4 linked regions of the Tamandua tetradactyla genome follow. The main gene of each other region encodes a partner of the protein of the gene in region 2 in a complex. Links are inferred from orthologs where the notes say so. Each region holds a gene or a part of one and is shown on either strand. Other genes may lie near its edges. The genes, in order: SNIP1, CRNKL1, SNRPD3 and ARMC7.

Region 1 (7,796 bases), on a different chromosome or scaffold from region 2:
GAACGTACAGATGGTATTGTAGACCACTTATCCCGTAAAACATTAAAACTCCTCTCCCTGACAGATATGTTGATAACAAATCTCCAGATCCCTGTGTCATGTGAAACTCAATTCACGTACTCTGTGAAATGCCCTTGTCCTAAACCCTTATAAGCTGCTCCTTGCATTTCCACCCTTGCAGTGTGCTACTTTCATTTTTACCATATGGCCACCACTGGAGACCCGCTCCTGTTTGCAAGTCCTAATGAAACTCATGTCCGACTCTGTACCTAGTGTGTTTGGAGCTTGGGGCTGCATTGACTCAAGACCTTCAAGAGTTGAGTTGGAACAGGAGGCGTAGGTGAGTACTTAGGAGGTGTGTGCCTGCACAGGCCCCCCATAATGAACCTGGCAAGGCCAGGTACTGGAATCGCAAGGAAGCAGCCTGAGGGGAGAGGTCATTGGGGAGAGGACTTCTATACCATTGATGGGAGGAAAGCAACTGAAACATTTGCTCCCTTCCTTTGACCTCCACCTGTGAAGAGGTCATGGTCTTTTTTACTGTCTCCCTTCTCATCACAGCCTTCAAAACTGTATTACATTACATTACATTACATTACATTACATACAAACTGCATTACATTAAAAATAGTTGAGAAGGCATAGCTTTTGAAGATCTGGTTCAGTTGGTTCAGATGGCTTGACTACCCCACCCTGTTAGTTCCCACTTACGCTGGCTTGATTCTGGGGGTGCCCTTGGCTGCCTGGAGATCAGTCTCATTGGGAAGCTAAGACTGGTCAGTAGTGGCCTGGACACCTTGCTGACATCTGATGAGCCAGAGAAGCTCTCACGAGCATGGGCCAACTGAGCTTTCCAAATTTAGGTGGCTCTTGCATCAATATTGGCCAAAGCCTTGTCACCTTCCCCCTGAACTCAACTGGCATTCTTGTCTCCAGCCGCTCAACACCACACAACAGTGACTTTTCTAAAGCACAAAGTTGATGGTGACTCTGCCTTGATAAAAATCTCTTCAGGGGTTCCCTATTGCCACAGCAGCAGCTCTCACACTTATGACTGCACTCAACGTAAAAATGGATGTTAACATCATGATTCCATATACATACAAGTGCACGTCCACAGAGATGCACACACACACATAACGGATACAGGTTTCATGAAATGAAATTTACCCTGATGACATGAGATGTAATCTGTTATTTTCTGTTCTATTCTATCCTATCGTTTCCTGTTCCAGTTTTTAAATGCTGGGACTAGCCTCTACCTTAATTTCATTGAATAAATGGGTTGTGGTCCAGTTTGAGAAACTCTGGACTACAGACACCCTTCACAATCCAAGTCCATGCTTGTCTACTCAGTCTCCATGTGGTCACGCCCCTCATTCTCCCTATTTGCCTTGCATGTGCTGGTTCCCCTACCTGGAGCGCTCTCCCCATCTCATTTGCCTGATAAACTCCTTTCCCTACTTCGAAAATCAGCTCCTAGGAAAGATCCCTCAGCAAGCGGAGTAGATGAACTCTCTGTGTCATAACAGACTAATGGATGGTTCCATTAGACTCCTGTCAAGCTCTCCCATAGGACGCTGTGATGGATTCAATCATGTCCCCACAAAGTCATGTTCAAGTTGCAACTCCTAGTCCTGTTGGCATGGACTCGTTTGCAAACATGATCTTCAAAGATCCTATTTAGATGTGGTCAAATTGAACCAGAGTGGGCCTAAATCTAGTATGACTGTAGTCCTTATAAAAAGGAAATTTGGACACACAAGTACAAGCCATAGGAGAAGACAGAAAGAGACAGATCGGCATGTAATAGAGGCAGAGAATGACTGCTGGCTAGTGAGCCAGCGCCAGAATGCTATAGACTTTGGAGAAGGCAAGTCCTGATAATACCTTAATTTTGGCCTTCTAGTCTCTCCACTGTGAGCCAGTAGTGTCCTGTTGTTTAAGCCAAACAGTTTGCGGTATTTTGTTATAGGAGCAATGCCAACTAAAACAGACCTTTACTTCTTTGTGTGTCCTTTTAAACTCTAAGCTCCTTGACTGTAGGTTTTTGTTTAAATTAGAATTTCATCTCTGTATCCTCAGATACAGACATTATGTCTGGCTTATGGTAAATAATCAGTAACTAGTGTGCTGAACTGAGAGAGGAAATAGGACATTCAAATTCCCAAACTAGAACACTTCACCTGCAATGCCAGCAGCCCACTGTGGGGATCCTAAATCTGTATGTCTCAAAAGGGTTCATGTAGGCTTTCAGATATGCCTCACGGGAGATAGTCTATCATGGTGGAAAGGTATATGGATTTTGAATTCAAAGATATCAGGAGTCCAGCTCTGCTTCTTTCGTCTATGGACATAATATTGGTGTTCACTGATATCCAGTTCTCCTCTTTTTCCAGGCCCAAAGTCTACTTCCTCCTTGAGACAGGGCTATGTGATTTGATTTGGCAGCCCAATGTGAAACAGAAGTGCCACATGTTCCTTTTGAGTGGAAGCATTTAATTGCTGGGGCTCAACTTTATACCTTCCTCTCTCAATTCTTAGCGATAATGGAAAAGCTCTGAGAGCATGTGGACACCTGACCAGGCAAGTACCTTGTAAACCTAACTTCCGTAAGTGTCAAACTTTTCCTGAAACTTCTAAAACAATCCAGAGATGCTTTATCTATATGCGATTTGCTGAGGTTCCATCTCTTTCAAGCCAAAGATAAGTATTTTTGGAGGAAACACCTTCAAGGAAATGATTCTTACGATTTGACATGACTTGCCTTCTGGTGTGATGAGCACCCCGTTTGTTCTTTCCTTCAACAAATATTTTGGAATGCACAGGGGAGAGAGCAAAGCCTCTGATCTTGAGGAGTTTATATGCGAGTAGTGGGAAAAGGAGGCACAGACCATGAACCAATAGTTATGTCTGGTGGTGATAAATGTTGCAGAAGAATTAGGTGGAGTAAAGGGATCATGTTGGAGAGTGGGTGCTCTCTTATAAAATGCTCAAGGAAACATTCCTTGAGGAAATGACATCTGAGCAAGACCAGGGTGAAAAAATGGGATGTTGGGAGAAGAACATCTTCAGTAGTAGGAACAGCAACTGCCAAGGCCTTGATGTGGGAGAGAGACTGTGGTGTTTTAGAAATAGCAAGTGGAGGCTATGTGGCTTTGGCACAGCAAATAAGGAGAGTAACAGCAGATAAGACAATGGACATGGTGTAGACCAGACAGATCATGCCAGGCCTTTCAGGCCATGGTAAGGGTTTCAGATTGTAGCAGGCACGAGATGGGAGGCCATTAGAAACTTCTGGGAAAAGACTGGCATGACCTGATTTATGGTTTAGGGGCTGTGTTGGGAACAGATTGTAGGGACAAAGAGTAAAAGTGGTTTCTAACTTTGAGGCCGCAGCAGAAGTGCCAATGCTAAAGAATGACTTGGAACGAGATGCTGGAGGCAGGGGTGGTGAAAAGGGATCAGATTTGGGACATAATTTGAAGGTAGAGCCAACAGGGTTTGATGAAGGATCAGACATGTGATATGAGAGACTAAAGGCAATGAAAGATGGCCTGAGCACCTAGTAAAAGACAGCTACCACTTACTGAGAAGATGAAGACAGTATGAGCAGGTTGGGGGAAGAAGAAAACGTGACTTAGTTTGGATATTTTGAGTTCGAGATGCATATTAGACATCTTTGGAAGTAGAATATATGGGTCTGGAGTTTAAAGAAGCTGAAAGGGCTGGAAATAAGCGTTTGGGAGTCATTGGCATATGGATAGTATTTAAAGCCATGAGATTGGATGAGAGCATTCAGGAAATGAGAGTAGATAGAGAAGCCATCTCCTCCCCATCCTCCCAGGAATCAGGTATCTGCAAACTCTAGCAATTCTAGGATACTGGGGGGAAACTCAAGCTAGGAATAGAGGCAGGGGTCTTTTCCATATTCCCAAGTCCTGGGATGCAAAAGCCTGGGCTTTCTCCCAGGTACTGCTCCTGCTTTTTTACCTTGGCGGCAGAATGGCATTCAAGATTTCTTCTGCCTGCTTTGTAGGGTCTGGGACAGAGGAAGTTGAGGGAAGTTTGGTCTTTGGTGGCTGTGGGACTGGACCCGAGGGTCCAGGCTGCTGGGGGCTGACTTTCAGTGGCCGAGCCTGAAAAGATAGACAGGCTCGGGTAAGAGGCACTCAGCTCCACACATACTGGCCCCCTGGATGGCCTCCTGTCTCCTGCACATCCCTCCCCTATTCCTGGCTCACGTTTACCTTCTGTCTTCTCAGCAGAAATTGACTCAAAGTCAAAGGAGGCCATCAAGAGCCTCTGGTCCCACTCCAACCATTTTTGGCAAGGGTGCTCGGGGCTTTGCTTTCACATCTCGAGCAATGGAGAAATCACTACCTGATTTATTATTGAACGCGGCTACCAAAAAAAAAAGATTAAGTCTGATCCTAAATCTGCTTTCCGGAGGCACATCCAATATCTGGCCTTCTTGTGCTGCTTTTCCACCCTCCTTCCCCTGCAGCCTCTCTCCCTCGGTTTTCCAGACCCTCAACGAGATGTGTCTTCCTCCATCGGAACGTCCCGGCTCCCCGGACCCCCGAGAGCCGTCCTTACTTTGGGGCTCCGTTTCTCCGTATTCCGGCTCACTAGCACCGGGGTATCGTACTTGAGCAGTGAGTCTGCGGGAGGAATCATGGCGACACAAGGGGTAGTAACCCAGCAGCCACCCCTCTAGTCTAGGCCTGTTTGCCGTAACCATGGAAACCCCCTTTCCAAGCCTCATTGCCTGGGCGGGGCTTCGGTGTGGGGCGGGGCCAGAGGCGAGCGAATCTCATTCTCTTGCCCTGTGTTTGCGGAAAGTTCTCCTTCAGCTAAGCTTTCCCGACTTCTTGCCCGCCAGCCCGCCCGCTTGCCCCTGGGCTTTTGGAAGCAGGATAAGCTTGAGTTCGAGTCTCTAAACTCCGTTAAACTGCGTTTGAATGAGGGATCAGGCCACCTGTAAAATGGGAGTTATCTCCCAGTGAAGGATTGATTGAGGAAGGTTCCCGTTGGAAGGTATGTGGAGTTCCCAAACTTCTAATTTTTTAAAAAAGTATTTTTTTTATCAAATGGAGAAATTACAACATAACAGAGTTCAGAAAATAGGAAAAAAGCATTATTGATTTTCCAAAATCCACCATCTATGATTGCATTTCCTCCTTTCCTTTTCTTCATGTGTTTCTGAACGTAAATGAAATCAGAATTTGGACCCAATTTTGTATTGTACTTTTTCTGTTTAAGTCAGCGCTTTTTCCATTCGCCATAGTTTGTAAAGAGCATTGCCTTGGCGACATAACATTCCATCAATGGGCTAGGCAATTACCTACTGCTAGGCATTTAAGTTGTTTCAGTGTTTTGTAATTACTAATGACGTGACAAGCCCTTGAGAGTATGTAGCTTTTTCCAAGTTGCTTTTTTCCCCTGATAATGTGGTTTAATTGCAGTTTTTCCAAAAGTATCTCCTTTCCCAGTTAAAAAAATATATACAGATATGTTAAAGCCTGCCCCTGCCCCCTCAATGGGCGGTGAGCACAGTTCTCAGGGAGGGCAGCCACGCCTCTCCCGGGGCCTCCCAGGACAGTCCCTGTGTGGGAGCAGGGGACGCGTCCTCGCTGACCTACAGCCCGGATCCCGTTCCCTTTCCAAGCTGCTTTTGAAACTTGAAATTCCCGCCTCCGGAACTAGTGCACTACGGCCCCGCCCACTACGGGGTCGTGGTCACGTGTTTGGAGTCTCCGCCGCTAGGGTTTCTGGGAGAGCGCTCACCCCGGAAGGGGAAAGCCAGGGGCCAAATCCGTCATTTCCTTCATCAAGCCGAGCTCCAGCGATCTCTTCTTTCCCTCAGCGTAGGTCGCGGAATGAAGGAGGTAAAGAATGAGCGGGAGCGGGGCAGCCGGCGAAGGCACCGGGATGGAGATGTGGTGGTGGTGGCGGCGGCAGCGGTGGTGGTGAAGCAGGAGCGCCTCAGCCCGGAAGCAGCGCCTCCAGCTCACCGCCGACCCGAGTCGTCTGGCGGAAGCCCGTCCCTGCCTGCCGGCGAGCCGAGTCGCCCGGGTCACCACGGAAACCGAGTCCGAGGAGGCAGCCGGTAAGTGGAGAGAGGCCCGAGATGGATCTTGGGTTGGTTTCGTTGAGAAGAGAGGGCAGGGCTGGCATCAGAAATAACGAATGCTGGGCTCGGCAGCTTGGACATAATCCTGGAGGCGAAGAAAGTGACTCAGTCAGCCTTGAGTTAAACGTTTACGCCTGCATCTGCCACCTGATTTATAGCTGGGCCTTTAGCGCCTAATGCGCAGGATTCCATCTCTTCATCTTGATGTTTCCAGCACCCAGCAGAGTATGGTCCAGAAGATAGCATTAATAGTTTCTAAACTTGAAAGATCTATTAAATTGAGAGGTTTTCCCTGTCTGCCCGTCAAGCCAGGGCGGGTGTTCTTCCAATTCTTTGCGCCAAAAGGTTCCCACATTGAGGGCCCAGGAGATCTACCTGATGGAAACTCTGAAGAAAAAAAAAAAGATTTGTGAGACTCAATGATTTATTCACTCATTCAACATATATTTTTATTGAGCACCTAGACTTATACCAAGTACGAGGCCTCAAGGATGAATAAGACAGTCTTTATCTTTGATGGAATAGATGTTCTCTATCCTTGGCATAAACAAAAAGCAAATAAATGAAATAGTTTTAATTAGTAACAAATATTAAGGATAAGTTCAAATAGTAATGTGATAGTGAGGAATTGGAGGGCAGAAGGAGGCCTCTCTGAACGGGGGGCCTGAATGATGAGAATGATCGAGCCTTGTTAAGATAACAGGCAGGGGAAACAACAGTGCAAAGAACCAGAAGTGGAATTTAATGTTATATTTTCTAAGGGAAAAGTCCTGGTAGGCAATTATATAGGTGGGTCTGGAACTCAAGGAAGACCTTAGGGATAGGAAAGTGAGACTCCTGACTCCTTTTCTGTGATTAGCAGAGACCTTCACAGGTGTGTTTCTGTTAGTAGATAAGCCTGATACTTGAAGTTGATTTACATGGTGGAAGGGACGTTGAGATAAAATCTTGTATGTACCATGCTCTGAAAAGGTCCCCAGCCAAAAAGAAGAGCAAGTCCTCAGGGAGAAGAGGCAAGTCTCCTCGGAATAAGAGAAGCCGAAGTCCTCACCATTCCACAGTCAAAGTGAAGCAGGTAAGTTGAAGTGCGTGCTTTGACTTTAGGTCCAAAGGTATAGCTTTTTCCTATCATTGATAAAGAAGGTGTTTTCATCTGTACCAGAAAAGGGCTTTGCTTTTTTTTAAAATTAAGTTTATTTTGAGATATTTGTTGATTCGTATGAAGTTGTAAGAAATAAAACGGGGAATTATTCCTTTACCTGGTTTCCCCCGTAGTATATCTTGCAGAAATATAGTATAGTATCACAATCAGAATATTGACATTGATAGAGTCATAAAGCAGCATTTCCATCACCACAGAATCTCTTTTATATATTTTTATACAAATATAAATGCACGCACACACATACCTCTTATAAACACACACACTTTCCTCCCACCCTTACCCCTTCTTAACCCTTGGCAACTGCTATCGCTGACATCTACTGATTTTTCCTCCATTTCTGTAATTTTATCATTTCAAGAATGTTACATAAATGGAATCACACAGTATGTAACCTTTTGGGGTTAGCTGTTGCCACTCAGAAGAATTTTTGGAGATCTATTCATCTAGCAATAGTTCATTCCTTTTTCTTGCTAATATTCCATGGTGTGGATTTAC
Region 2 (6,843 bases):
ACAACTCAATGAGACTAAAAGTAGATACAACAGGATTAGTGTATATTGTTAAAAACACTATCTTAAATTTAAAATATTCACACACTCCAGCGTGGGAAAGTCAAATCACATTCAAGTCTTTTCACCACTTTTTTCATATCCCCATTCTTAAAACAGAAGGGAAGTGAGACAAAAATATATAATACATTTGCTAAGTACACCCTTCTTACAGTTGTCAGTTGTTTCACAAATCTTCAATTTGGCATCAAAAATAACGACTCTGGTGGAGTTAATGTCTTTACACTTTAAAACAGACAACTCATGGCATCGTTTAGAGTTCAGCAAAAGGTAGTTATCTGGTAACCAGAAGTTATATTATTCACATGGCTAGAAACACTAATCTTATCTTAGAGACTCTCTAATGTGCACCTTTTCAAACTCTAACCTATAAATTCTTGTCAATACTGACAGACTCTCAAAAATATCACATGGACTCACCTTCCTTTTCCTTAGTTTATAATCATTTAACTCTTCTTCATCTGTGATCTTCTGTTGCGGTGGAGGTGGAAGTAGCTCAAGTTCTCTTTCTTTAGCTTCTCTTAAGAGTTGTTCAGCAGTTATCTGTACCTCAGCAGGGGCTTTGTTTTTCACCTTTTAAGACAGAAGACATTTCTAGTTTGGGTAGATGCTCTTCACATAAGATTTTTTAAAGAACCAAAATTTTTTTAGGATGTGAACTTCATGCGTATTATCATAAAATGCTCTATCTGTATGACATGTTTCATTTTTCTATGAGACTGTAAAGAAAAAATATTATGCTTACTATCTTGTATATTTTATCTATTACCAAAGCCATAAGTAAAAGAGTTAAGAAGACAGGTAGTGATAATAGCAAGTTTGCGCTTTAGCTTAATATAACAATAAACTTTGGGGCTGTCTGGGTAAAATTCTCACCAGAGGTATTGCTTTATCAAGATGTGTACCATATCTTATTTGGCATTACAACCTCTATTTATGGGACTCCTCAGTTTATCTTGATGCCCTGAGGGGACGACAGGGACTGGATTTTATTTTTTTATCTTTAACGCAGTTTTATTAACATATTCACACACCATACAAACCATCCGAAGTATACAATCGCTGACCCACGATATCATCACATAAGTTGTGCATACGTCACCTTGATCAACTCTAGAACATTTTCATTACTACATAAAAGCAATAAAAAGAAAAAAGAAAACCCAAATCCTCCCATATCCCATTAATGACTCATAGTGTGGCACATCTGTTACTGCTGATGAAAGAATATTAAGATATTACTGTTAACTATAGTCATTAGTTAGCAATATGTACATTTTCCCCAGTGCACCCTACTATAATTAACTCCTTGTAATAATGTTGTACAATTGTTCTAGTTCATTTAAGAACATTTTTTATATTTGTACAATTAGTCATTGTCCATCACAAGATTCACAGTATTATACATTCCCATGTTTTAAGCTCCAACTTTCCTTCTGGTGACATACATGACTCTAAACTTCCTCTTCCTACCACATTCAGACACCATATAATACTGTTATTCTCACAATAATGTGTTACCATCGCCTCTACCCATTTTCAAACAATAGGGATTGGTTTTCAAATCACCTCAAGTCAAAGACAATATTGAACATGTTCTCATGGTTAGATTATAAACTTCTTGAGGTCTTAGAGCTGTGCTGTCCAACACAGTAGCTATGGCCCAAATATGATGAATTCAAATGAGATTAGCTTTAAACGCAAACTACATATAATTTTGAAAATTTAGTATGAAAAAGAATGCAAACTGCCCCATTAAATTTTTTATATTGACTACATGTCAAAATGACAAAATTTTAGATATACGAGGTTAAAAATGTTTTTTAAATTAATTTCGCCTGTTTTTTTTAACTTTTTAATGCGGCTATGAGAAAATTTAAAACTACATATATTTCGTTTGAACACACTATATTTCTACCGGAAAGCACTACTTTAGATCAAGTCCTGCTCGGTATTGGTTCCTTCAGGTCTATTTTATATAGAAGGTACTGAATAAAATTTATGAAATTGAATTATAAGAAATATTTAATGCCACATGTAAGTAATGAGCACTGTGTCCCAGATACTGTGCTTTATTTGCATTATCTCTAGGAATCATATCTAAATAGAGATGAAAACGCCAACCTCAAGAGACACATCTGGACTGGAGACAGACAGGAGATAACGATGTTTGGAAAGGATGAGCACAGAGTTTGACACATATTAAGCACCCGGTAAATATGAGCCATGGATTGAACTATCAGATAATATTAAGCTTACTATTTAATTCCATTTACGCAGCTCCACAACCCTTGTAACCTACTCTCATTCCTTCCAGTCTCCGCTGGCTTAACTCTTACTCAGCCATCAAGTCTCAGCTTAAATATCACTTCCTCAGCAAAGTTTTTTTTTCTGAAGACTCCCCGCTTCGCAGAACTCCCCTTATTCTCGCCCATGGCATCTTCCACTTTGCTCCAGTAGCTTTAGGAGGTTGCAACGTTACATTTAGCGTAAGACACAGGCGCTAAGCGCCAACACAATAAAACTGTGCTGAATGACCTCTCTCCTCGTCCAGCAAAAACACCTTCCCAAAACTAAAGCCATGCCGACGCGGGTCGTGCTCTGGGGAGACAAAAGCCCGCGCCAGACCACCGGCTGACCCTCCCTGTCTCTTCTCCCGCGGCACCAGGCGGGGTGGCCCTGGTCCCGGGATAACATTCGCCCCTGCCCGGGCACCACGGAGGTTGGGTCTGGGGGAAACTCTTCTTACAGGCCCTCTCCCACAAGATCCCTCGCTATCGCCTACTTTGGCCACTTTAGGAATCCGCTGCTTCCCGGCCGCGGTGGAGGCCGCCATGTCGGCAGCAGTGCGCCACACGCCACCCCTTGAACGGCAGAAACCTGCTCCGAGTATTCGGAGTATACTTCGAGTATTTGGAGCATACACTCCAAAGCTTTCCGACAACAAGCGGAATTCCGGAACCGGAACTGAAGCCGGAACCGATTTGATGACCCTTAACCTCTAACACGCGCCGTGACGGAGGCAGCGCCGTTTCTGTGGTAACCGGGTTGTGCGTCCTCCGAAGCTGCAGGTAAGGTGGGCAGTACTAGCCTGGCCGGGAGGGACGTGGAGACTGGGTTCAAGGTGTCAGCGGAGCATTCCTAGGTCAGTCACCGGGAATACGAAGACAAGGGGAACCGCCGCGTTTTAGAGATTAGGGACCGAGGTCCAATTCGGACGCTATCGAAGGTTGGAGAAGTTAGGGCGGCTAGGAAACTACCACTCCCAGCATGCCCTGCCGCGAGCTGCTGCGCTCCCGGGCGGCCTGGCGCCGCGTTGCATTCTAGGCTTTGTGGTCTCTTAAGTGTGAGGTCCACTCCCTCCGTTTCGAAACAGTTGTGCCCAGAAGATTAATGCCAAGACTCGGAAGTTAAAAATAATGGAAGATATTTTGAAGCCAGATATTAATCACAAGAAAATAATGAAAGCCAGCCTAGTGTCTAAGTAGCAAACCACCCAGCTTTATGGTCATGTAAATAAATTCTCTGTGAGTGTGCCTTATTTACTTACTCTTAGCCTCAACGTCCTCGACTAACGACAGAACAATAATATCTATTTCACAGGGATTAAAGAGAAAATCGATGTAAAGTGCTCCATAAATATTAACTTGTATAATTCTTGACCAGCCTTCAAAAATAAAAAAATGAAGTATGTGCGAACAAATGGTTAAGAGAATTATGACAGTTCAAGTCTCTGGTGTTTGCCAGAAAAAAAAATATTTACGTATGTAATAATATCAAGTTTACTGCTTTTATCTATGCAGATATTTATTTCTTAAAAAAAATTTAAGCTGATTTCCCAAACTGCAACCGTTTGTAATGAAGATCAAAATATTTCCAATAACTTTGTACCATCTATATTATCTTTAAATACTTCTATTTAAATATTTAAATAGAAGATTGTTTAGTGAGTACCCTTAATTTGTAATAATGTTTAACAAAGTTTAAAGTTAGTAATCTCTAGCCTCCTCTCAAAGATACAAATACCCTAGAATACTTTACTTCTATTTACTGTGCTTGCATCTCACATGTTTTATTCTCTGGTGATTTAGTGCAACTTTACTTTTAAGCAGAAATTTATCATTATTATTACTTTTCTTTTTGCCATCAATGCCTATTTAGATATACCTTCATGTTTACTGTTTTTTTCCCTCAGAACTGCATCTTGCATTCCAATCCTTTCTGATTTTAATTTTTTTTTCCTTCCTGGAATTCATCTTTTACTGGTTCTTTCAACAACTTTCTTTGAATGGTATTCTCTCTCAGTATGATTTCACTTTCATCTTTAGGTATAGAAGTTTGGCTTTGTGGTCTCTTAGCTCTGAGGTCCACTCCCTCTGTTTTGGAATAGTTGAGGCAGTTTTCCCCTCAGAACTGAAATGGTTTTCCAGATTTGGCCCATACCCTGTTTTTGTACAGCCTGTGAGCTAAAAATTTTTTTTAACATTAAAAAAACTTTTTTTGAAAAAAAACGAAAGAATATTTCATTATACATGAAAGTTATATGAAATTCAAATTTTTGCATCCATAAATAGAATTCTATTGGAATACAGTGACTTCTTTTTTTTTCCAGAATCTTTTTTTAAATTTTTTTAAAATTTATTTATTAATTAAAAAAATAAAGAAACAAAATAAAACAACATACATAATCAGTAATTCACAATATCATCACTTAGTTGCATATTCATCATTTCTTAGAACATTTGCATTAATTCAGAAAAAGAAATAAAAAGACAATAGAAGAAGAAATAAAATGAACACAGGAAAGAAAAAAAAGGATTATACCTACCATACCCCTTACCCCTTGCTTTCATTGTTCACTAGCATTTAAACTAAATTTATTTTAGCATTTGTTCCCCTTATTTATTTTTATTCCATATGTTCTACTCCTTTGTTGACAAGGTAGATAAAAGGAGCATCAGACACAAGGTTTTCACAATCACACAGTCACATTGTGACAGCTGTATCATTATTCAATCATCCTCAAGAAACATGGCTACTGGAACACAGCTCTACATTTTCAGGCAGTTCCCTCCAGCCTCTCCATTACATCTTGAATAACAAGATGATATCTACTTGATGCATAAGAATAACCTCCAGGGTAACCTCTTGACTCTGTTTGGAATCTATCAGCCATTGACACTTTGTCTCATTTCCCTCTTCCCCCTTTTGGTCGATAAGGTTTTCTCAATCCCTTGATGCTAAGTCTCAGCTCATTCTAGGGTTTTTCTCAATCCCAATGAATCCCCTCCATTCATTCCGAGATCTCTGTCCCACGTTGCCAGGAAGGTCCACACCCCTGGGAGTCATGTCCCACATAGAGACGGGTAGAGTGGTGAGACTGCTCATTGTGTTGGCTGGAGAGAGGGGCCACATATGAGCAACAAAAGAGGCTTTCTTGGGGGTGACTCTTAGGCCTAAATTTTAAGTAGACTTGACCTATCCTTTGCAGGGTTCAGTTTCATATGAACAAACCCCAAGACTGGGGGCTCTGCCTATATCTTTGGTTGTCCACACTGCTTGTGAGAATATCAAGAATTCAACTTGGGGAAGTTGAATTTCTCCGCATTCTCACCACTCCCCGATGGGGGCTTTGCAAATACTTTTCCACTCACTGATTGAATCACTCTGGGATTCATCGGGGCATCACTCTGGACAAACCAGCAAAATCTCATGTCCAACCTGAGATTCCAAGTACTTATGGTGTTCAATCAAACTATCTACATAAGTTATATTAGGAAATGCACTAGTCAAAATATAAATTTTGTAACTAATAAACATTTTTTGCTTTAGTCTCACAGAGAAGGTGACATTTAAAAATATTAATTACCATCTATTTTCAGCACCCTGCAATAATGACATTCCTTTGTTCTTCCTCATGCAAAAACATTTTTAAAATTGTACCTTGTACATTTCACTATCATACACTCTAGGCATTCCTAGATTATACCATCTCAATCTTTAACATCTATCTTTCTTTCCAATTTCATTTATGTCCCCAGCCCTCCTCCCTCTATCATTCTCACATGCAGCTTCATTCAGTGTTTTAACATAATTATATTACAGTTAGGTAGTATTGTGCTGTCCATTTCTGAGTTTTTGTATCCACTCCTGTTGCACAGTCTGTATCCCTTCAGCTCCAATTACCCAATATCTCACCCTATTTCTATCTCCTGATGGTCTCTGTTACAAACAAAATATTCCAAGTTTATTCACCAATGTCAGTTCATATCAATGAAACCATACAGTATTTGTCCTTTAGTTTTTGGCTAGTCTCACTCAGCATAATGTTCTCAAGGTCCATCCATGTTGTCACATACTTCATAAGTTTGTTCTGTCTTAAAGCTGCATAATATTCCATTGTATGTATATACCACAGTTTGTTTAGCCACTCATCTGTTGATGGACATTTTGGCTGTTTCCATCTCCTTGCAATTGTAATAATACTGCTATAAAACATTGGTGTGCAAATGTCTGTTTGTGTCTTTGCCCTTATGTCCTCTGAGTAGATACCTAGCAATGATATTGCTGGGTCATATGGCAATTCTATATTCAGCTTTTTGAGGAACCGCCAAGCTGCCTTCCACAGTGGTTGCACCATTTGACATTCCCACCAACAGTGGATAAGTGTGCCTCTTTCTCCACATCCTATCCAGCACTTGTCATTTTCTGTTTTGTTGATAATGGCCATTCTGGTGAGTGTGAGATAATATCTCTTTGTGGTTTTGATTTGCATTTCTCTAATGG
Region 3 (7,276 bases), on a different chromosome or scaffold from region 2:
AAACGGTCCCAGGAAGCGGGTCGGATACACGTGTGGTCCCTTCCAGCCCCAATGTTCCCACAGCCTCGGTTCAGCGCTTAGCTCCCTGGTGATACAGTCTCCCACAGCCAGGCCAAGGCCAGTGGGTGGAGGGTCCCCAGTCCCAGTCGTGGGACTGATCAGTGGTGCTGAGGCCTGGACACCCGGCAGGACCCCTGGCCCATCTCTGTAAGAGGGGACCAGCCCGGGGGGAAGCTGGGCCCCCCGCAGCGCCCTGGGGACAAGCAGTCCCACCGGGCCCCCCCACCCCCCGGCCCAGGGCAAGGCGCTGGCCGCACACTCACTGCAGCACCATCCTGGAGCAGGCCAGGCCGCAGTCCCAGTGGTAGAGCTGCTGGATGACGGGCACGGGCAGCTGCACAAAGTCCCCTGCACGGACACACAGGGAGTCACTGCTGCCCCGGCCACCCTGGCCTCAGCTGCCCCAGCAGCTTCCCCATCATCAGTCCTGTGTAACCCTGCAGAGGCAGCGTGGGGCCCAGTCCTCAGCCCCCATGCTGTCTCCCTGTAACAGCCAGTGACCTCCCCAAAACGCCAGGCCCCCAACGGGGGGGGGGGTTCCCTCTCTTCTTGGGAGAGTGCTGTTGTGGCTGCTGCCTTAATACCACGACTCCTTGCCTACCCTCGCTCCCACCAAGCCAACCCTCTCACTCCTGGTTGCCCAAGAGCCTGAGCTAAGACAGGACACTTACCCTGTGGGGCCCAGCTCCCCATTATATGCACGCACAGCCCCCCAAACCTCTCCCTCTGAGCCCCCTGGAACGAGCCCTGAGCAGGCTGTGTGGCCTCTGATCTGTATCCCAGGGCCGGCACGTAGGGTTACCCAGCAGACATGTAAGTCTGGATTCATAAGGCCCCTGGTACTGCCTGAAACCAAAGCCCCAGGACCACCCGAGTGCCACCTGCCACAAAGCAGGCGGGTGGGATGCCCTGCAGCTGTCCCTGGATGCCCTCTGATCCACCTTCACCACAGCAGTGAGGGGAGCAGAAGGGACCTGAGCTGGGCACCATGGGTGCGGCTCAGCCACCGGCGGCCAGTGCAGTGGGCAGCTGACTTCCTTGTGCTGAACTGGGGTGGGACTTGGATGTGATTCAGTCATTCAGTTGACAGATGTTTCCCGAGAGCCCACTGGGTGCCTGGCACGTGGACCGGAGAGCGGAAATGAGCTCGGTGGCCATGTCAAGGGTAATGGGAAGAACGGGTGCTAGGCTGGGGGAGACGGTGAGGGGTACCTAGGAGGGGGTGAGTCTGGGGGAAGCCCGGAGCAGTGCCATGTGTGCCCTGAGACCCGGAGGCTGAGCAGAGGGTGGTCTGTGGACAGAGAACCAGCTGTGCGCTGGGCTCGGTGAGCTGGCTGCGGCTCACTAGGACCATGGGTTCCTCCTCCTTTGGACTAAGGTCAGAGTCTAAAGAACCAAAAGGAACTCACCATTGCCAGCTCCCAGCCACATTACTCATTAATGACACCCGCCTGGCAAATGAAAACCCAGCCTGCTCTGAAGGTCTTGGGGGGGTGCTCCTGGGCTGTGCAACCCAGTCCCATGCCACATCATGGGGGGTCCTAGTGCCCCACTCCCCTACACACTCAGGAGGGGTCACTGGCTAGTCCTGGAGCCTGTCCTGGGCTTTCCAGCCTCTGCCTTTGCCTATGCAGCCCATCGACTGGCGGGCCCCCAAGCTCCTGTGCTCCTGCGTCTAACCGCTCCCCAGCCTTCGAGGCCTGGCTTAGAAGCCACCTCCTCCTGGGTGGGTGGGGGGTCCTAACCTCACCTGGCCATGCCCTCAACCTCCTCAGCACCCTGCCACACCCAGGACGGGAACTGTGCTTTCTGCCCTCCACCCCTCAGCTCACAGGGGCCGCAGCAAGACTACCGGGGGCAGGCCTGGGCAAGCAAAGGCCTGACCTCAGCACCAGGCCTCTGGATGGGGCATTCCATCCCTAGAGTCTAATGCTTAGCAACAACTCAACACCTTCGAAGGTGTCTGAATTATCCCCCCAAAGGGTTTGCCTGAGTGGAGGGTGCAGGTGCTGTGCCACCATGGCGTGGGGTGGGGGGTGCTTCTCTTTTCACGAACACCTTGCTGTCACCATGAACTGCCTTTTGGTTTTTCTCTACCCAGGCGGTTGACCTGCCCCCACCCCCTGGCCTTCCCCCTTGTAGATCCTCAGCCTGGAATGTCCTTTCCCATCTCTGAATGTCCAAATGCTCGAATCCCTCTCTGGGCCCCTCGGCGGAAACGCTGGATGCAGAGCATTGGCAGGAGCACCAAAGGGGGGTGGCTTTGCTCCCTCCAGGCCTCGGCCCAGGGTGGGCGCTCAGGCAAGCCTGGTGAGTGGAGGGTGATTTCCGGTGAGGACTTCACCTCAAGATGCCCGGGTCTGCCTGTCACCACGGCACCACACCCCCCTGCACCCCTCTCCCCCCGCCAGTTTCCAGACCACATCCCTCTGCTCGCAGCTGTCTTCTTACTCTGGGGTCACTGGATGACCTTTGGCCAGGCCTTCAACCCGGTCACTCTGTCCCCTGTGCCCACCTGCCAAGTGTGGCACCCCACAGCTCCTCTCGAGGGCCCTTGGAGACTCAGCTGCCCCCCGTCCTCTTGTCCTGAGCTCTAGAACCCCTTGATCCTGAGACCCCACAGGACCAAACACCCCCACAGGGCTGCCCCCAGCCTTAGCACGGGCAGGCCAGCCCATTGGGACCCAGAGAGGCTCCTGCGGGGGATGATAAGGGTAGGCAGGCCATGGCCTTCATGCCGATAACGGCTTCAGCCGCCCAAGCCCCACGCTGCCGCCGCATGTCGAGGCCTGGAGCCCAGGGAGGGCCACAGGAGGCCACCCGAGAGCCAGGGCCGGCCTGGCAAGGGAGGAGGGGAACTTGCCGAACTTCACACCCTCTGTCTACTCATCTGCAGAAGTGGAAATAGTAACAGTAACCTGCTTCCTTGGGTTGTTATGAGGGCTAATGCATACAAACAACTTAGCATGGTACCTGCCTCATAGAAGCCCCTACAAATATCAGTCATGACTCCACTGAGGGTGAGAACAGGCAACTGTCTTGCCTAAGACTGCAGAGTTAGATAACTAGAGGAGACAATGTGAATCCCAGTGGGCAAAAGACCCCCTGCTCCATGGTGCCACCAGAGGGGACTGCCACCGCTACCCCCCTCCACCACTGACACCTTAGGGTCAGGGTCCCCCTTGCTCATGACCTCTCCTATGATCCTTGGAGTTTGCAAACACTTTCCTTTCCCCCTCCCCCACTTCTCCAACCAGGCCCAGGGCACCAACTGCCAGTCTTGGGGCAGAAGGAAGAAACTAGAGGTTGAAAAATTCTAGCAAGACAAGGTGATGACCCAGGGGTCTGGGAGCCCAGGTGAAGGGGCCTCCTCTAGCTCGGCCCTCTCTGGCCACTTCCCTGCCCGACTCTGGGCCTCAGCTTGCCTCCAAGTTCCCCAGGGGACAGGGTCTTCCAAGGCGGCTCCCACTGGGCTTTCCACCTCTGATCATATCCCGGGAATCCCCACGGGCCGCTCCAGAGCTGACTGGGGTCCCAGCCCCGTGGAGATCAGGGCTCCCCGATGGGCTCGGGGCTCGGGGATGGGGGGCGAGGCGAGAGTGTCCAGCTAGACAGGTCTCACTCGAAGCTCTATGCTCGACCCCAGGCGGCGGTCGGCCCAAGGTCGCCCGGCCGGACCCTGCCTGCCCCGCCTCGGGGCGGGGTCCCCCTTCGGTCCCCCGGGAGAAGTCCGAGCCCTCGGGCGGAGGCACTGACCCGGCTCGAGCGGCGGTCCCGCTGCCTCCGCCTCCGTCCTCATGACCCGGGCGCGGGACGCCCATGGCCCCAGCCCGGCGCGGGCGGCGGCTTCGGCTTCGGCTGGGGCGTGAGCGCAGCCCACGACGGCCCGGTTCCGCCGCCGCCACCTCCGCCACGGCGGAGGGGAGAGGAGGAGGCGGCGGCCCGGCCGCCCCCGGCCCCGCCCCGGCCTTTCCAGGCCTCCTCCCGGGAGGCCCCGCCTCGCGCCGGGGCTCCGCCCTGGCCTGTGCCCCTGGAGGCCCCGCCCTTCCCACACCGAGGTTTCCGATAGGTCTTCGGCCCGTTGAGCTACGGCCGACTCGACCATTCGTAGGCTCGGCTGCTGGTTGGCCCTGCCCCACTCCTCACACCGACGCCTCCGTTTCCCGGAAGACCCGCCCCCGAAGCCCAGGCCATCGGCCCGCGCGGCAAGTCCCGCCCAGCCGGGTCTCGGTCCTTAGCCGGCCTCAGGTGGGCGCCGCAGGGGTTCCAAGAGACCTAGCTCTGCCCAGACCCCCCAGACGGACCGCAGTCTACTGTATACCTCGGTTTCCCTTTCTGTACAATGGAATACCTCGCGCCACTTACCTGGAGGCGCCAGGTTCCAACGACTAAATTGTGAAGGGAGGTCCCGGCCCTCCGCTCCACTGCCTGCCGTCCCCGATCTGAGGGCCGAGGTCCCGGATGCCCGCCTTGCAATCCATCGCGTCCCTGATGCGGGGTGCCTGGAAGCGCGAGCTGCCCTCTCCTCTGGCCCGCCCGAGGGTCGGGGTTTCCGGCGGCACCCGGGCCCTGTCATCAGCCCCTCTCTTCTGGGGCCGGAACTATAGTGCCACAGCCTGCGTTTCCCAGCCGGCGGAGTGAGGAGGAAGCCGAGGCGGGACCGCGCCCCCCACTGGAGAAAGGGAGGGGCGGGCCCTTCGCGCGGCATTTTGGGAACGCGGGGAATTCTGGGAGCGCGGGGCCCGCCATTCGCTCTCTTCACGCCTTCGTCGACACTCGAGTTGCCGCGTTACAGAAGAGGAGGAAACGGAGGCCGGAGCCGGTGAGGGAAGGCTGGAAATGGGTGAGGGGAGGCGGAGGCTCCCTGGGAGGGTTGGGGGCTGGAGAAGGCCACGCTGCCGAGAAGCGCCGAGGGTTGAGGGGAGGGGAGAGAGCGGGAAACCCGGGCCACGCAGCGTCAGCTTCGCGTTCACTTCTCCCCAGCTTTCTGGCTTATTTTGTTTGTTTCTATCCGAGTCAATCGTTTTCGAAGCCTCCAGGCCATAATCTCGACATCCTCTCTAATTGAATGTTTTCCCCTCCCCCCAACCCCCAGTCTCGTGTACGTAGTCATTTTCGGAAGGTAGGCACCGAATCCTTCTCCTCGTGCTTTCCACACTGTCGCCGGACCTTTAACAAGTCTCTCTGCTTCTGAGCTATATGTTTAATTCATCCTGTAAATGCTGCTTCCTTTTCATGGGGTCATTCCTTCCCCCGTCCTGCAGCAATTGGTTCCCTGCTGTCTGCAGCACAAAATTCGAACTCCTAAGGCTGAAACTCAGAGGTCCTCACCCAGGGAGCCCATCTTTCCCAACCTGAGGGCCCCTTTTCTCTCCACGTACATCCTTCCCCTTGCTTTCTTTTGGATGCACATGATGTGTTCCAACCTTCATTTTTGCTCACCTCAGAGTAAAAAGTCCGGTGTTTTTGCTTTTTTTAATTAGGTCAAGCCAGGCCCTTGCCCTGATTTTTCTGTCCTCTAAGATGAGCATTGTTTGTTTAAAGCAGGTTGTCATTTTGTGAGCACTTTAATGTTTTCTCTTTAGTCCCCGTGGTGAAGTGAATGGGGCACCAGTAGATACTCAGTGGATTGAGTTAAAAATGCAGCCTCCTCTCCAGGATTTGTCTGTGGATCCTTTGGTCCAAATCCACACTGTGCAGTTCGAAGCCACTGGCTGTTAAGCACGTGGAATGCGGCCAGTGTGGATGAGGAATATACTTTATTTCATTTCAGTTAATTTTAAATTTAAATCGTGACGGGCTGACAGTGCCAATTGTGTCTGACAGCTCATAGTTCTCAAAGTGAAGCATCACCCACAACCGTGTGTTGGCAGATGCATTGTGCAGCATATGCAGTTGCCCCACTCCCATATTGATGAATGATTATTTTGGTGAAGATAAAGGGACGTACCCTAGATGCCCCATACTGAAAAGTAGATGGAAAGTACTTTTGCGTTCCCCTAGTCTTATCTCTTTTCAGCCCCCCATTTCTCCCATCACCCAGCTTGCATGTGCTTCCTGGATAGACTCCTCCAAGCTGTGCTCTAAGCTCCTTTTTTCAGTAGTAGAAGAAAAACAGCTTTGGCATCTCTGCCAATCGTTTTGGAGTGCCAGGTCTTGAGGGAGGCATGGTCTGTCTGCAGTGCCTTCTCAAGCTCTGAAAGTTGAACTAACTGTTCTCTTTCTTGCTCTTAGAACTCTCTTCTCTCCAAGATGTCAATTGGTGTGCCAATTAAAGTCCTGCATGAGGCTGAGGGCCACATCGTGACATGCGAGACGAACACCGGGGAGGTGTATCGTGGGAAGCTCATTGAGGCAGAGGACAACATGAACTGCCAGGTATCTTGCTTGGCGCTTGAGGTTGTGGGGGAGCCTGGGCCTATGTGTTGGAGGACAGAAGAGTGATGATTGTGGGTTCTTTTAAATTTATTTTCATTCAGCAGTTATTTACTTAGTACTTAACGTGTGTCATTTTGTTGGAGGTGCCAGGGATGTGGGCATGAACAGGACAATCATGGTCTGGAGCAGAAGAGCTCTTTGGAAACTTTTTGTCCTCTATTCTCTCCTTCTCATAATTATTTTCTCCCATATCTTGGGGGCATGTTTGACAGAAGTGCCACTACTCCCCTCAAGAGACCATTTACCCTCCACATGTTCCCCTAACTACAGCTACTCACCTACTATGTGTATTTGCCTTTTTTTTCCCTGGGTTAAGAGGTTCTATTTGATTCTTCCAATTACCTTGTAAGGTAGGTAGATTTGGTGATAGTTTTGTCATCCATAAAATAGGGAGCGTGAGATTAAAGAACTCGTCTGCTGAACTTCACCCTGTTAATAAATTGCAGAACAGCCTCCTGGTGCCCTTCCATGTCCCTGTGTCCCTGGTATGCATTTTGTTATTTTTCATGTGGTTTTATATGGCGTTACTTTACAAAGTGTCTAGCACAGTTTCTTTGTTCTTTAAACAGCCAAGTAAGAGCTTGGGTTTTTAAATCAGTGAGAGATGTGTCTTTGAATCCTGATTGTATGACCTGGGGCATTTCAGTTTCCTCATCTGTAAAATGGAGATGATTTCACTTCAGGTACTCTGAGATGCACACATCAAGACAGAATTGGACATGCAAGAGATTTGTTTTGGGAAAATATCAATAGAGGATTAAAGGCAGGGAGGTGTAGA
Region 4 (7,551 bases), on a different chromosome or scaffold from region 2:
CCTAGAAGAAAATATAGGGAAACATCTTCAAGACCTAGTAATAAGAGGTAACTTCTTGAACTTTACACTTAAAGCACAAGCTACGAAAGAAAAAATAGGTAAATAAGAACTTCTTAAAATCAAAAGCTTCTGTGCCTTAAAGGAGTTTGTCAAAAGATGGAGAGGCAGCCGAGTTTGTCAAAAAGATGAAGAGGCAGCCAACTCAACAGGAGAAAATATTTGGCAACCATATATCGGATAAAGGTTTGCTATCCTGTGTACATAAAGAAATTATACAACTCAACAACTAAAGAACAATCAATCCAGTTATAAAATGGCCAAAAGATATGAATAGACATTTTTCCAAAGGGCAAAAACAAATGGTCAAAAAGCATATCATCTTCATTAGCTATAATGCAAATGCAAATCAAAACTATACTGAGATATTATTTCATACTTATAAGAATGGCTGCTATTAAACAAACAGGAGAATGTAGAAAAACCAGAACACTTAGGCACTGCTGGTAGAAATGTATAACCAATCGTTCAGCAGCTGTGGTAGACAGTCTGGCAGTTTTTATAAAACTAAATATCAAGTGCCCTATGACCTGGCAACACCAATACTGGGTATATACCCAGAAGAGCTGAGAACAGTGATATGAACAGACATTTGCACCCACTATTCATAACCGCCAAAAGATGGAACAATCCAAATGTCCATTAGCTGAAGAGCAGATAAACAAAATGTGGTATATATACGCGATGGAATACTATATGCAGCGGTAAGATGAAATGACGTCCTGAAGCACTGACAACATGGATGAACCTAGAGGATATAATGCTGAGTGAAATAAGCCAGACATAAAAGGAAAGACAGAGTATGATTTAACTTTTATGACTCTGATAAAGAGAGCAAACTCCAAATCACATAGCCCAGGAAGAAAATCTGTACTCATATGTAGCAATGAACTTGATGTTGCATCTCTACAACTAGAGCACGCAAATGACTTCACAAGCAATGGCTTCTATACATTTCACACTTTTAACACTGACCATTCGTAATAAAGATTCTGTAAAAGAGAAAAAATTTAATAAAAAAAAAAACATAAATGTAATGTGGGATTCTGGATGGGATCCAGGAACAGAAAGGAAATTTGCATAAAGTACAAATTTTAATTTAATAATATATCACTGTTGGTTCACTGACTGCAACAAATGTATCACAGTAATGTCAGACGCTAAACAGGGGAACCCAGGTATATGGGAACTCTGTATTATGTTTGCAATTTTTCTAAAACTGTTCTAAACTTAAAATGTTGATTAAAAACAGAGAAAGAGAGATTTAAGGGACCATTTAACAACCAGAGGAAACTCAAGGATCTTGGACTGGATCCTGGCTTATCCTAACCAACGACAACAACAAAATGTCCCTTTGGGGACTACTGAAGAGATGTGCATACCGGGTAAATATTAGGAATTATTATTAAAAGTTTCTTTTGCCTATGTAAATAAAACTCCTGTCACTTAGAGGACTGTTATTTTTAAATAGAGATATGTTTTTTTTTTAAAGATGTATAATGAAAAAATAATTTTTGTTTGCTCTCAGAATAAATTCCAAGCTCTTTCCACATAGCCTTGACCCAAGGCCCTGTAAGCTCTGGCACTGCCAAACCCTCTGACCTCCTTTTATACCACTCTCCCCTTTACTTGCCACAGCCCTGCCACACTAACCTTCCTCTGGCTCCTTCCTGCTTTCAGGTCTTTGTCCATGCCATGCCTCAGCCTATACGCCCTTCCTCTGATGGCCAAAATGGAAGTAGCCCCCAACTGTTATTGATTTATCTTACCCCTGGCAATTCGGTTCACAGTATCACCTTTTTTGTTTGCTTGTTCACCAATTCTCTCTTTACTGGAATGTAAGCCCCCTGAGGACAAACACATTTTCCCAACTTGTTTGACATCTCCTCTTAGAACAGCACCTTGCTGTCAGGACAGACCCAATAAACATACATTCAATAGGTCGTAAGACCATAACAACTTCAGGAGCTATAAGCTAGAGAGCCCAAGTCATCCTTATGTTTTTTGAAATTAAAACATTAAAGACAGAGTAATCTCAAAATAGCTTCAATCCATTCCCTCATTTGTGATCTCGCCTCTAAGCAGGAGAGAGAGGGTCCTGGGTGTGAAGTTACAGGCTTGTCTCAAACTACCTGTGACCTTGGACAACCGAGGAGGCATAACAGACATCGCAAAGATCTGCCTTTACAGCCGAGGGGCTGCTTAAGACTCCCTTCCGAAGAACTCACTTCTCACTGATCTCACTCCAGCCTCCCAGGCAGTGCAAGGGGAAGGTTGGGCTCGTGGGGGTGGGGGGAGAAGGCGACCCCATCCTTACCGATGGCAAACTCCACCAGGGTCTCATTCTCCTCTGACAGCGAATCAAGGAACAAATCCAGGACCTGCAGCTGCCGCAGATACCCGTAGTTGTTGGGGTCATAGGCGAAGTTGGCGAGGTTGGCCAGGACTTGCTCCTTGGCGTCTGCAACGGGAAAGCGGCGCTGGAGGCAGGTCCCCGGCGGCCGCGGCCGCACCTCCACCCCGGCCCCTGGCTCCCACTCGCGGCTCTCACCCTGGCTCTCCGTCTCCTGGAATTCCGTGACCAACGCCTGCAGGTATCCCAGCCGCCCGACATGAGGGTCTACCTTCGGCTTCTGGGCCATCGTCGCCGCGGCGGAGGGCCCCGGGGCCCGGGCGGGGAGGGCGTGGGAGGCGAAGCCGGGCAGCCAGACGTGGACCTCACCGGACCGACCACCCGTCGGAGAAGCCGGGGCCGGGACGGGAAACGGGTTCTTTTCCTGGGTTCAGGTTGTGCTGTAACTTGAGGCTTAGACTGGGATGTGGGGGTGGGATGGGGTCTCGGGACGCTAAGTCAAAATTGGGGAACTGGAGACCCGGGTGTCCCTGCCACTTAAAGCGGAAGGGGAGGGACCAGCATCCGCATCCCCGACTCCAACGCTCTGCTCTCCGCGGGGTTCCGGCCTCCGGCGGAAGTTGTGCTAGTTCCCACCCCGCAGGGCGGAAGGGGCGGGGAAAGGGGCGTGGCTTCCCTCGCGTTACTCGGGGTGTACTTTGTGGCACCAGTCCGACCGCGAGCAGAGAATGGGCCTCAGGTTGGTGGGAGGGTCGGGGGTGGCGTTAAGGAGCGCCTCTGGGGAATCAGAGGCACCGCTGTGGGGGCTCGTCGAGGCAGAGGCACCTCCAGACCTCCACATACTTGGCGGGGGTCGCAACTTGGCCTCCTCGGCCCAGGGACGCTCCTGCGTAGCTCTTGCGTCAGCTCCCCGTTCCCCGTGTCGGTCCTATGACTTTACAATTGGGGCGGCTTTTCCAAAAAGTTGGGCGAGTCCGACGCCCCCTCCTCCCCACCTCTGGCCATCAATCACGCGGGTTGGAGACTATCCCATGGCTCATTGTTAGCAAGGCAGGCGGGGGCGCCTGGGACAGCATCGGTGAGCCCTAGAAGGAACCTGGGTTTACCCATGTGTCCCACTGGCGGCTTTCTGGGTTGTGGGGTCCTGGGTGCCGAAGTCCTCCGGCCCAGTTCCTTCTCAGGACCTCCCAGAAAGGAGGTATGTAACGGACCTCGTGGGTGCCCGGGACTGGAGCATCAGGGAAAGAGGTAACACCACCACTCCCATTGTGCTTGAAAATGTGGGGGGGAAGTGGGCTTAGGCCGTGAGCTTCTTGAGGGTGAGGACCGTGTGACATCCAGAGGCTGGACAGTGACAACAGTCCAGCCAGCAGCAGCTCCCTTGGGAGCAGGCCCCTACTTTCTGCAGACCTACTAGGTCCCTGTGGTCAGCCCTGTTCTGCACACACCCTCTGGAGCGGTTTTAACAGTAGTCGGAGCTCAGGGTACCCAAACTGTTGGAGAGGGTGGTGGCCCCAGCCCCCTCCCCAGGTCTTTGGCTTCTGTGAGGAGCTGAAGTGGCACAGGGACATGCATCACAGTCCAAAGCTGGGAGACATGTAGCTCTCTGCCTGGATTGAACAGCAAAGGCCTGGAGGCAGGAGTTGCCCCAGGTCCTCTAGACTAGTCCCAGGCTAATCAGCTAAATTTGGGTTCTAGAATTAGATGGGCCACCCCACCATCCCTCAAGTGTTTGGCTTTATTCCCTCCCAAACCCTCAGGGATCCTTCTCCTTGGGAAAGAATTCTTAGTCCTTTGTTTTGTTCTGAAGGCAGCGACCAGGTCTTTAAGGTCTCAATAAAATTTTTTGTTGAAGGGATTCTGCCCAGGGTTTATTGCCACTTTTGCCTGGGGGGAAATGAGGTCAGGGTCAAAGTACTCTATGTTGAATATTCAATTTTTTTTTCCTTAAAATAAATTTGTTTTCAGGAAATGGGCCTATATGGGGAGACACAACATATCAAAGTACTAATCTACCTACCAGCCCCCAACTGCCCTCTTTTCTACTCCTTCAGAGCATGCTCATCCAGGCCAAGCTCCTTTTTAAAGGCCCAGAGATGGGGAACAATTTGCCTAAAGTTACAGCAAGTTGTTTCTGAGTTCAACATCAACTCTGGTCTCCGTCCCAGCCCAGTACTCTTGCCTTGCCCCTGCACTACCACGACTGACTAATAGGGGGCACTCGTGACAGGCTCCTGGGGGAGTCGGGAGGACATCCCCAAGGATGCTTATTCACACCCGCTGGATCAGTGGGGAGGAAGGCTGGGGTCAGGTTATGAAAATGAAATCAATTCTCCTTGGCCTGATAAGGTTTTCTTGTCCGAGCCTGGCTGAGCCTGAATCAACAAGGTTTTGAGAAGCCTTGCAAAGCCCCTGCCAAGTGGAGAGGAGGGAATGTCCTCTAGGCCTGTTCTCTTAAGAGTTCACTGGATTCATAATCTCCAGTGATTCATAATCCGCTGCAGGGAGTGTTTTTGTATGTAATTCAAACAGACCCTGTTTTTCATCCCCCCCCCTAGGTGGGTATCCTGCTGGGACAAGTCTGAGCTGATGACAGCCAGTCCCTGGAGGGCCTTGGGGTGACCTCAGGGAAGGGCACCGGCCAAGTGCAGAGGGAAGCTCTGGTCTCCAGGGCCCAGGAGTGGACTGGCAGCCGGCCCAGCCAACTCCTTACCCTCAGCTGACGCCTTGACATAGCAGGGTGAAGGGGGCTTGGGAGGGCAGGAGAGGGAAGTGCAAGGGCTTCCTTCACAAAAGCAGCCCTATTTTCACAAAGGTCCCTGGACATTAGTTAGCCAGTCTTCTTCTCCCCTGGACAACTGACCGCCTGACTTCCTCCCATACCAGGCCTGATGTTCTATGCCAAGACTACAGGGTGGGGGTGCAAAGGAGGGAAGGAGACCCTAGAGCAGACCCTGCTAAATGAGGAGGAAGTCCCCTTAGGCTTCACCAGGGGCTCCCCTCCACATCTCTGCACAGACACCAGGATGGGGACACCACCCAACGTTTAATCTGTCAAATCCTGTGTCCAGGCCAACTCCTCAGCCTGGCCCTCCAGCCCGCAGGCCACATCACAGTCTCTCATGGGTCCCTTCATCCCAGACTTCCAGTCAGTGTGAGGCAACCTGTGGTGGGGGCAGCCTGGGCCAGCTGTGGCTGCCAAGGGCAGGGGCTGGGTCACTTGGGAAGGAGGACGGCAGGAGGGCCCTGAAAGAGGGATGAGCTCTTTGGAATTGTCTCGAAGACAAAGTGTGATCACGCTGAAGGCATGCAGTTTGGACTGGAAAGTTCATTGTGCTGAGTTGTGGGAGTAGTCATGGGTGGCCAGCTGAGCAGAGTCAGCTATGTCAGACCCAAGCCTTCCTGGGCCCCCGGTTGGTGGAACCCAAGGGAAAAAGTCAGAAGAATCCACTCCTGGATTCTGCTGGTTGGAAATACCTCTGAGCCTTCGGAGGGCAGCATCCAAGGTCCCAGCTCCTGGCCAGGTCTCATTTGTGAAACCTGTTCCAAGCTCCCTGGGGCAGCCCTTGGCCACAGCCTCTGGTGAAGCAACTGACGTGCCATTCCTGGGCTGAGACAGTGGTCACTCACTAACCTCAGGGCTCAGACAGTGGTCACATACATGATCTCGGGGCACGGCCGCTTGCCAGGACCATCTGTGCCCTCCAGGAAAAGTTCCTGCTCCGGGGCAGCCTCCATGATGGCTCCTTCCTTCTCAGCCTGCCTGCCCTGCCTCTCCTTCCTCTGCAGGGCACAGAAGCTGCCGCCCATGAAGAGGGCAGCCGAGATGAGGATGAAGCTCGACATGTAAAAAACATAGCTGAAGTTGTTGTTGGTGGCATCCAGCAGGAATCCTGGGGGACAGAGAGCAAGTCAGGCCACTGCCCAGGGCTCCTGGATACTCCCCTCCCCACCATACTATGCTCACCACAAACAGGGACTTTATTTTTGTTTCTCTTTGTCCACAGTGCCAGGAGGCATAGCTGGCACCTGGAAGGTACTTGATAAAGATCATTGTTGGATGAAAGGAGGGGAGGAAATGCTTTATCTACTTTGGCCTGGGGCAGGGAGAATTCTCAAAAAATTTTGGCCAGAGGGCAACTTAAGGGGTGACTTCTCACCCTTGGTGGCTGGGAACCAAGAAGACTGGACTAGTGGAGACTGGGATGTTTGCACAGCCACCTCCCAGGTTCTGCCCAGACTTCCTCCTGTGTGCTTTGCTTGGAGAACTTGGGGGAAGGCTCTCCCACTGGACTGGAGTCGACCTGCTGGGTCTTACTGTATTAACCGCCCCGACATGCTGTCTGTTGCCTGCATCCTGGCACCAAGCGCTTTACAAACCTTTTCTCATTTACTCTGAATGAAGCTCTCAGCTGCAGCCCACACCTAGGTCCTCTCATGTGGATCCCTATCGCCATGTTCTGTACAAATCACCATCGTAATTACAGACAGGTTCTTTAATTCCTGACCCCTCCTCCAGAAGGGAAGCCCAAGGGTGGAGGGGCCGGGTCTTGGTATTCAGCCACACCCACCTAGGGACTGGCACAGGTGAATTCCTGATAGGTGACAGGCATTCTTTTCAACATTGTGCAGACCACATTGTGGCTCAGAGAAGGAAAATAACTTGCCTAGGTCCCCACAGGCAGGAAGTAGGAGAACCTATGTGAATATGTGACTATAACCTCCAAATATTAGGATGTCAATCGTAGCAAGCACCTACACAGTGCCACTTACTATGTGCCAGGGTCTCTGCTGAGCTCTTTGTAACTCCTAATCCTTACAACAAGCTGATGAGTTTAAGATGCTATTATTACCCCCCACTTTCCTGATAAGGAAACTGAGGCACATAGAGGAAGATGAAGGACCCTGGTAGGTCTGGCACCCACACCCCAAACACTGACTGGGGCAGAGGCTGCAGTGTGGTCCCTTGGGGTGCTGGGAAAGACAGACCCCAAGCTCCTGCCCCTGCAGGTGCCAGAGGAGCCCCCAGTCTGTCCAGGCTGTGCCCTGTCCCCATCCCTTGTCCCACCTCCACCATCAGGGCTACCCTCCCTTCCCAGGGCCTCACCGGCTATCGGCGGGGAGATGAGGATGGAAATGCT

The links.
Region 1: CRNKL1 (region 2) and SNIP1 share a complex: the UniProt entries of both Homo sapiens proteins name them as parts of the minor spliceosome. The link is inferred for Tamandua tetradactyla from reciprocal best matches to the Homo sapiens genes CRNKL1 and SNIP1.
Region 3: CRNKL1 (region 2) and SNRPD3 share a complex: the UniProt entries of both Homo sapiens proteins name them as parts of the minor spliceosome. The link is inferred for Tamandua tetradactyla from reciprocal best matches to the Homo sapiens genes CRNKL1 and SNRPD3.
Region 4: CRNKL1 (region 2) and ARMC7 share a complex: the UniProt entries of both Homo sapiens proteins name them as parts of the minor spliceosome. The link is inferred for Tamandua tetradactyla from reciprocal best matches to the Homo sapiens genes CRNKL1 and ARMC7.

What each region holds. Positions count from the first base shown.
Region 1 is NC_135328.1:187,752,412-187,760,207, forward strand, and holds the start of SNIP1 (smad nuclear-interacting protein 1), read left to right. Parts: upstream 1-4,782; 5' UTR 4,783-5,040; intron 5,041-5,792; exon of another isoform or gene 5,793-5,869; 5' UTR 5,870-5,882; coding exon 5,883-6,112; intron 6,113-7,108; coding exon 7,109-7,211; intron 7,212-7,796. Other genes in the region: DNALI1 (axonemal dynein light intermediate polypeptide 1), read right to left, coding at 3,994-4,139, 4,600-4,680. UniProt on the Homo sapiens protein: Required for pre-mRNA splicing as component of the spliceosome. As a component of the minor spliceosome, involved in the splicing of U12-type introns in pre-mRNAs. Down-regulates NF-kappa-B signaling by competing with RELA for CREBBP/EP300 binding.
Region 2 is NC_135327.1:40,346,141-40,352,983, reverse strand, and holds the start of CRNKL1 (crooked neck-like protein 1), read right to left. Parts: upstream 3,005-6,843; 5' UTR 2,894-3,004; coding exon 2,843-2,893; intron 631-2,842; coding exon 478-630; intron 1-477. UniProt on the Homo sapiens protein: Involved in pre-mRNA splicing process. As a component of the minor spliceosome, involved in the splicing of U12-type introns in pre-mRNAs.
Region 3 is NC_135331.1:25,394,179-25,401,454, forward strand, and holds the start of SNRPD3 (small nuclear ribonucleoprotein Sm D3), read left to right. Parts: upstream 1-4,259; 5' UTR 4,260-4,882; intron 4,883-6,294; 5' UTR 6,295-6,312; coding exon 6,313-6,438; intron 6,439-7,276. Other genes in the region: protein GUCD1, read right to left, coding at 324-408, 3,817-3,859. UniProt on the Homo sapiens protein: Plays a role in pre-mRNA splicing as a core component of the spliceosomal U1, U2, U4 and U5 small nuclear ribonucleoproteins (snRNPs), the building blocks of the spliceosome.
Region 4 is NC_135332.1:15,527,632-15,535,182, reverse strand, and holds the start of ARMC7 (armadillo repeat-containing protein 7), read right to left. Parts: upstream 3,002-7,551; 5' UTR 2,700-3,001; coding exon 2,609-2,699; intron 2,519-2,608; coding exon 2,375-2,518; intron 1-2,374. Other genes in the region: SLC16A5 (monocarboxylate transporter 6), read right to left, coding at 6,053-6,303, 7,518-7,551. UniProt on the Homo sapiens protein: As a component of the minor spliceosome, involved in the splicing of U12-type introns in pre-mRNAs.